Linked DNA regions of Oreochromis niloticus. The protein of the gene in region 2 purifies or fractionates together with the protein of the main gene of each other region. This does not show direct contact. Links are inferred from orthologs where the notes say so. Each region holds a gene or a part of one and is shown on either strand. Other genes may lie near its edges. The genes, in order: srpra and srprb.

Region 1 (3,917 bases), about 7.2 Mb from region 2:
AAAAATCAATGTGTGTCTTTAAAACACACATTGTTCTTGGCCTGCTGTCTCTTTTAAATGGAAGTATCAGCTGCTTTACCTGGGTTTTTCAGAAGCTCCTGGCCTGTGCTTACGGAAGAATTCCTCTCTGTTCTTTTGCAAGATCTCCTCTGCAGTCAAGCTCTGGTTACCATTCTCCACCATCTTCTGGCCAGAGGGTGAGGCCTTGTCTTGATCCCCTTTGGCAGGCTGAGCTGCAGGAGCTGGAAAGGATTAGAGTCAACTGAGTCTGAAATCATGTTACCCTTATCCATTTAGATTTTGCTTTTTATAACCAGAAGAGACCACTTACCCTCCTTTTTGGCATTTTTATTCTTCTTGCCACCCTGTTCCTTGCCTTTGTCCCCACCCTTTGTCTCAATCATTGACTTCACAGTTTTTTGAGATTTCCCAGATTGCTCAAAGGTCCGCATGCCGGCAGGGCCTCGAGCTTTACTGCTCTCCTCCGCCACACTTTTGGTAAACAATTAATATATGTCAACATAGGGAAGAACAAAAAGAAACTCTGTCAGGGAGGCAGCCTTCACTTTTTCTAAGCTAATAAAACAAACATACAACAAAACCATTAAATCTCACAGCTTGTTGATCATATTTCTTATGTGGCATGTGAAACGAATATTTAAAAACATATTTTGACCATTATCAAGATAGACTTGATTTATTTCAATTGCTGCTAAAATAAAATTGAATTGTTGTGTTCAAATTTTATGTTCTCGAACATAAAGCAAAGGAACTCAAATATTTATAAGGGATGGAAAGACAGAGCGCCAGTTGGACTGACAGATGCAGCCTCAGCAGTAACGCGGGGAGTCACAGAAAACAAACAAAAAAACAGGGAAGTATGCAAACGTCCGAGGGGACCCTCATGTTAACCATCTGATGATGAAATCTGTATCAGCGGGACCCAAGTGAACCCTAGCAGACTTGTGGAAAGTATAATCCCTGCCTATTGGGTGAAAAAGAGTGACAAGCTGTGACATCTGCAGGGGTCTCAGGGGTCTCAGGAGTCTCAGCTGCTGCTGCTCCTGCATGTTAAAAGGAGCCAGTTGAGATGATTCAGGCATCTGGTTAGGATGCCTCCTGGGCACCTCCCTTTAGTGGTTTTCTAGGCATGGGAGGAGACTCTAAGGTAGACTCAGAACCCGCTGGAGAGATTTTATATCTTTTGCAATCGCCCAAGAAGAACTGAAAAATGTGGCTGGGAAGAATAACCTCTGGAATACCCTACTTAGCCTGCTGCCACCACGATCTGAATTTGGATAACCGGAAGACAATGAATGAATTGGCTTTAAATTACTAATAACATCATTTGCACATAAAACCAATACACATTTTCCATTCCTACCTACAGATATAGGCACCAAACAATACACCTATTGTCTTTATTTGGAAATTACTTTGTTTCTTTACCTGAGAAGCATGTTGAAGTCATTCTCAAACTCAAAGCTGTTGTTGAGCAGCTTTAAAGCTCCCTTCTGCTCCAGCTCATTCTTATAGCGATCCCTAAAGCGAAGCTGGACGTCATTTATGAACTTGTCCACATATGTCAGCGTCAGGATCTTTTGAAAACCCACCTAGAGATGCACAGGTGAAACAAGAAAAAGGCAATGATCATAAACACATATAAAACACAAACACATATCCTCAGTTGATTTTTTTTTTAATTCATTCAATGCTTATATGAACGACTTACCACAAAAATCAACTCAAACTCGTTGTCGAGCTTGTATTTAAGACTCAAGCCCCCATGACTAAACGAACTGTTCCCACTTCGCTCCTGTAAAAAAAATAAAAAACATCAATACCATGTAAACGGAGCTAAACACACATTTTGCTACTGCAGCTATTGTTGTGTGTGTTTTCAACCACCTAAATTACGTCACTGTAGCACAGGAAATATTGAACTTATGAATGACAGTGGTATCGGGGGGGTGCACAGCCCAGAAGAAGCTTATTTAGTTGATCGCTACGCCATAAGCTAACGCTAGCATTAGCTACCCGTTAGTGCTAGCATTAGCTGGACCCTTGTTACAGAGAGCTGGATAAAAAGACAACAACCACAAGCAGCTAGCCGTGAGGCTCACCTGAAGGATCACCGAGCGGATCAAAGCGTTGACCGGCCCCGTGAAGGATTCAGTGACACCGGCTCCCTGAAAACACCACAACACTATCCCCCCTTTGCTGAAGATGGTGAAGAAGTCTAGCATCTTCTCAGCACGTACCTGGATTAAACAAAAACGCAGACAGACATGTGGATAAAAGTGAAAGAGGGCCCTGGGATTAAAAAATACACAGTGTCGTTTTAACGGCTCCTGCCTGCTATTCAGAACACGAACTCTTACCGGATAATACTTAAACTGATAATAAATGCCCCACGAGTGAAACCCACTACCAGTGAAAAAACTGTTTTAGACACGTCAGAGGCACGATCAGGAAGTGATGTTGACTTCCGGCATTTTTTTTTTTTACTGAGTTTTGCGTTTGCGCAGTTGTCATTTGAATGAACCGGTAGTGTTTTCGTGTGTACTTCACCAGTAGAAATGCCAGTATTTTTACCTGTTACCTGTAAAAATAGCATGTGTTGGTCCTGTCTCTTTAGGTCAACTTCTGTTGTTTAAAGGCTATAAAAATAAATAAATAAATACATTAATGAATAAATAAATTAATACATAAATAAATTGATTATTTTTATTAAATAATAAAAATAATAAAACTGGCAGGTATATTTTTTCATTCCCAAAATATAATTTATTTAAAGCAATTAAGTGGGTTATATACTAAACTTAGAGGTTACAAACAACATAACATGTTGTGCTAGTATTGATCCCAAACCAACAGCACTGGTGTAATACCAGTATGTATTTTGGGGGGTGTTCGCTGGAGCCAGTATAAGCAAGACAGAGTACATGTGTGAATGAGAATTAGGCTAGTGTAACTGTGTAGCTGCAATGAGTAGAGGTACTGAAGGCAGATAATGGATTGCATTTATATAGCGCTTTTCTAGGCACCCAAAGCGCTTTACAATTCCACTATTCATTCACACACTGGTGGAGGCAAGCTACAGTTGTAGCCACAGCTGCCCTGGGGCAGACTAACAGAAGCGAGGCGGCCATATCGCACCATCGGCCCCTCTGGCCAACACCAGTAGGCAGTAGGACACAACGACCAGGACAGAGAGAGCAGGGGGATCGAACCGGCAACCTTCCGGTTACAGATGAGCTTCCCAATCCCCTGAGCCACGGTCGCCTCCCATCAATCAGAGATTGACGAGGTACAACATAAATGCTACGGCAAGGAGGAGTCAGGACGCCAGGTCAGGGGGGAGATATCATCACCCCCACCCGAGATTGGGTACATAGCCCCAAGTGCGATAGGAGAAGGATCGTTGAGTGCGAGAGGAACTGACCTGAAAGATAGGATCATGGCCAAGCTTGAAACCTGGATCCCCCGTAGCCGGTTACCAAGATTACGTGAAGTACCCTCAGAAGGTCTGCTAGATGATGTTAATGCAGCACTACGGACGATACCTACAACCACGATTACCGACACTAACAAGCTGATCTACACTACGGCAGCAGTGATCAGTGAGATACTTGGCTACAAGTTGAACAGCCACAAGGGGCAGTACCCTCCATGGAGAAGGAGGCTAGAGGGCAAGATCAAAGTAGCACGAAGGGAGGTTAGCCAACTAACGGAGTTGCAGAAAGGCGCAACAAAGAAGGTGCATAAGAAATACAACAAGCTGTCCATACCTGAGGCCTTGGAAACTGCCAAGCAAAGACTCACAGCCTTGGCCAGCCGCTTGAGGAGGTACACCAGAGAGATAGAAGGCAGGAGAATAAACCAGCTGTTCTCCACAGAACCAGCAAAGGTGTACT
Region 2 (3,917 bases):
TAAACTAAACTCTGTTAGAATCCACAGTTCCAGTACTTTATTACGTAATGAGAAGATTGTGAATGAAGCTCCAAACTGGGTTTTCCTTTATCTGATTACATGTTGTCTTCACATTTAGCTTCTACAAAGAGAATAAAGTCAGTTTCTCGTTTAAAGGGAATAAAAATTTAAAATAGAACATTTTGCACACGTTTGCCGTGGTAGATGCATATTTTAACGCTGTATTCATAACAATGGCATCTAGATCTGAACAAATGTTTGACCTTGCTAAATCCCTACTCTTGAAAACAGAAACACCGGAAAGCAAATTATACATCCACAGAATTCAAAATATAAACAGAACACAAACGAAGTAATTGTCATATCATGACCAAATAACAGAGCCATGAGTCTTTTGACTGCACAGAAAATATGCACAGATGTACTCATTTACTTGCAGGCAAATTACAGAAAATTCCATATATGTAATGAGACTAGTAGACTGTGATGTTTGCAGACGGCAGTATGATCTGTTGTGAGAGCAGGGAGCAGATAAGACTCTGGAGAGGTGGAGGTATGTGCTGGAGAGAAGACCTCCAAAACAGTGAGTAGAAGCAAGAAGGAATATGTGTGTGTGTGTGTGTGTGTGTGTGTGTGTGTGTGTGTGTGTGTGTGAATGAGAGGGAGGCGGGAGGAAATGTGAAAGAGCAAGGAGCAGATGTAGTGAAGGTGGTGTTTAAATCCCTGGGGTCAACCATCCAAATCAACAGACGGGCACAAGAGAAGAGAAAAAGACAGTGCAAGGAGTGTGGAGTGGGTGGAGATGAGTATCAGGAGTGATATGTGACAGAAGATTAGCAGCAAGAGTGGAAGGGGAGGTTTACAAGATGACAGTGAGACATTCTGATCTGAAGGTGTAAAGGTTTTTATTGGGAATGACCAGAATGGATGAGAAATAAGTACACCAGAGGAAAAGCTCAGGTCAGCTCCCAGGAGGGACAGTGGATTTACTGAAAAAAGGATGGAGCAGCTAGCTGGAAGAAAGGCCCGCAAAGATTCGTGCGTGTAGTAAAGGAGGACATCACTACAAACATGACAGAGGAGGATGGTGTGACAGAGGAGGATGCTAGGCTTTAGGTGAGGTGGAGGCAGATGATCCGCTGTGGTGACCGTTTCTATTGGGAATGACCAGAATGGATGAGAAATAAGCAGCTGTCAGAAGGAGATGGAGGACTACACCGGATTTGCAGTGTATGCTTGATTTCACTTTTGATTTTGAATCACTTCCTGCGTGTTAAAATTAGCTGTTTGTTTTTATACTTCCTTATCCCCTAAGATAACTGCGTCATTTGGCTTGAGTAACTTATGACATTTTACATTACCAGGTACTATTTTTTTCTATTTTTCTCATGAAAACTATCTTCCATTTACTTCCAGAGAAATAAACGTGGCATGAAACTGTCATTTACCTCTAGCTGGTTCCAGCACTTTAATGTCTTTTACATACAGTCTGTGGTCCAGACCCATAACGGAGAATGTCCCGAGCGGCGGGCGCCCCCTGCTGGTCGCTGTGGCTCCCTACAGGCTTCAGATGGAAGGAGACGTGTCTCATTTCAGAGCAGCTTGGACGGAGTGATGGAAGCACACAACACCGGTGGAAACGTGGGAGAGAAAGCAGACGTGGAGATGGCAGGATCTCCGTTTGAACCTTACATTGAGTCCCTGCGGCAGCAGCTAGAAGAGCAGGACCCGGTCTTCCTGATCGGAGTTATCGTCGCTTTGGCGGTGGTTGTTATCACCTGTGGTAAGAAGTCATTTTAGCAGCTTAGCAGGCTAGGCCAAGCGTGTAGCTTAGCCCCGTTAGCCGCAAACAGCTGGTCTGTGATAAACCTGATATGTGAACAGGGCTTTTTAACGTTGAAAATACAATAACATGCGCTGTTTTAATAAATTAATATATGCTTTAAATACTTTAGCTTAAGTAGCAAGCTAAGAAGCTAACAACGGCTGTCGGTTTCACGGGAAGTCATTCAAACTTAGAGCTACCACACATTTTTGGCTAACGGACGGCAAGTGCCTTTGATACGTTGAGAATCAGTCACTGAATGTGTACCCTTTGCTTTGTGTTTGCAGTCTTTCTGAAGTACTTCCTCACCAGTAAGACTGTGCGCACCTCCGTGCTGCTGGTGGGGCTGTGTGACTCGGGGAAAACCCTGCTCTTCAGCCGGGTGAGTTAATGCTGAGACAGACCCCGGAAGCCCGCAGGGGGGTGCCCTGCAGCTCATGTTTGTTTGTTTGTTTATTTATTTGTTTGTGTGCTTTTCATGTGTTGGCAGCTGCTGTCTGGAAAGTTCAAGCGGACACAGACCTCCATCACTGACAGCAGTGCTCCATACAAAGCCAAAAATGACAGGGTGAGTTGAGGACTGTTAGTGGACAGAAGTAACTCGTGTGAGGGTGGGATTTACACCTTTGTTTTTCTCCACCCCGTCTGCAGGGCAGCACCTGGACTCTCATAGACCTGCCAGGCCACGACAGCCTCCGTCCTCAGTACCTGGAGAAGTTCAAGTCTGCGGCCAGGTGAGAGCAGGACGATCTGTGAGGTGATGTATGTGTGAACCGCTGACAGGTGAATGGAATAATGCTGCTTCCACAGAATGAAATGTTCTGACCATAGACTGTATAGAAAGGATGGTAAAGCCATTTTTACCCTTGCATGTTTTGGATCATCAAACACACTTTAATGTTAGAAATAACCTGAGTAAATACAAAGTGCAGTAAGTGCAGTATTAACGTCATGATTTCATTGATTAAGGCAGAAAAGCTATCCAAACCTGCCTGCCCCGTGTGAAAAAAGTAATTGTCCCCTTGTTCCATATCACATCTGTCTTATCATCACCCTGTCCTCTTTTTCAGAGCGATTGTGTTTGTAGTGGACAGCGCGATCTTCCAGAAGGAAGTGAGAGACGTGGCCGAGTTCCTGTATGTGTTATTGACGGACGCCGTGATCACCAGAAACGCCCCGGCTCTCGTGGTGGCGTGCAACAAACAAGGTACAGTAACCCTCAGAGAGTTTTTAGAGAGCTGGTGGAAACTTTTTATTTGGTTTGTCTCATGTTTAAATAGAAAGATTCATAGTTTTCTGTCACATAAGGTAATTGCAGTTCACTGAGAGTGTAGTCCCATTCTGAGTCCTAATATCTGAGCCTTCACTGCTTACTCTACATCCAGGTTATTCACTGGTGTTTTTATCTTGTAGACATCACCATGGCAAAATCCGCTAAACTGATTCAGCAGCAGCTGGAAAAGGAGCTGTAAGTAACTCTCTGTTTTGTTGTCTTCTTATACAATAAATATTTTTAGGAGCATCGCAACAGGTTTTGAATCAAAGCTTTATTGTCCATTGCAAAGCAGTGGAACTTTTTCTTAAACGTGGTTTTCAGTGTAAATAAATAAAACCGCAAAAAATAATGAATGCCACATAGCAGGATTCAAGGATTGTTGCAGATATGAATTTTTTGTTTTTCAGTTTTTGTGTAGTAATTTTGCCATTTTATTCATATTTCCGCTGATAAGCCAGTGACTGATCCTGTATTTATTATGAACCTGTTACCGCAGACTGTAGGATGTGTGTGTTTAATGTGGACTGTGATGTGTTACTGCAGCCTACCCCCAGGTATCATAGGGTAAGAGGCGGGATACACCCTGGACAGGTCGCCAGGCCTAACACAGAGGGACAGACAGCCATTCACACTCACATTCGCGCCTATGGCCAATTTAGAATCATCGATTAACCCAACCCCACTAACTGCATGTCTTTGGACTGTGGAAGGAAGGCGGAGTACCCAGAGAGGACCCACACAGACACGGGAGAACATGCAAACTCCACACCATAAATAGCACTGTTGCTTCACAGCTAGAAGGTCCTGAATTCAAAT

Evidence for each region.
Region 1: the proteins of srprb (region 2) and srpra purify together in Homo sapiens (affinity purification with mass spectrometry; 6 studies listed by BioGRID and IntAct, counting the BioPlex papers as one, with this or other methods). This does not show direct contact. The link is inferred for Oreochromis niloticus from reciprocal best matches to the Homo sapiens genes SRPRB and SRPRA.

What each region holds. Positions count from the first base shown.
Region 1 is NC_031979.2:16,095,709-16,099,625, reverse strand, and holds the start of srpra (signal recognition particle receptor subunit alpha), read right to left. Parts: upstream 2,533-3,917; 5' UTR 2,382-2,532; intron 2,262-2,381; 5' UTR 2,247-2,261; coding exon 2,124-2,246; intron 1,817-2,123; coding exon 1,733-1,816; intron 1,614-1,732; coding exon 1,450-1,613; intron 493-1,449; coding exon 332-492; intron 243-331; coding exon 80-242; intron 1-79. UniProt on the Homo sapiens protein: Component of the signal recognition particle (SRP) complex receptor (SR). Ensures, in conjunction with the SRP complex, the correct targeting of the nascent secretory proteins to the endoplasmic reticulum membrane system.
Region 2 is NC_031979.2:23,286,325-23,290,241, forward strand, and holds the start of srprb (signal recognition particle receptor subunit beta), read left to right. Parts: upstream 1-1,161; 5' UTR 1,162-1,176; coding exon 1,177-1,230; intron 1,231-1,329; exon of another isoform or gene 1,330-1,344; coding exon of another isoform or gene 1,345-1,364; intron 1,365-1,416; coding exon 1,417-1,783; intron 1,784-2,112; coding exon 2,113-2,207; intron 2,208-2,315; coding exon 2,316-2,393; intron 2,394-2,476; coding exon 2,477-2,559; intron 2,560-2,895; coding exon 2,896-3,032; intron 3,033-3,238; coding exon 3,239-3,293; intron 3,294-3,917. UniProt on the Homo sapiens protein: Component of the signal recognition particle (SRP) complex receptor (SR). Ensures, in conjunction with the SRP complex, the correct targeting of the nascent secretory proteins to the endoplasmic reticulum membrane system.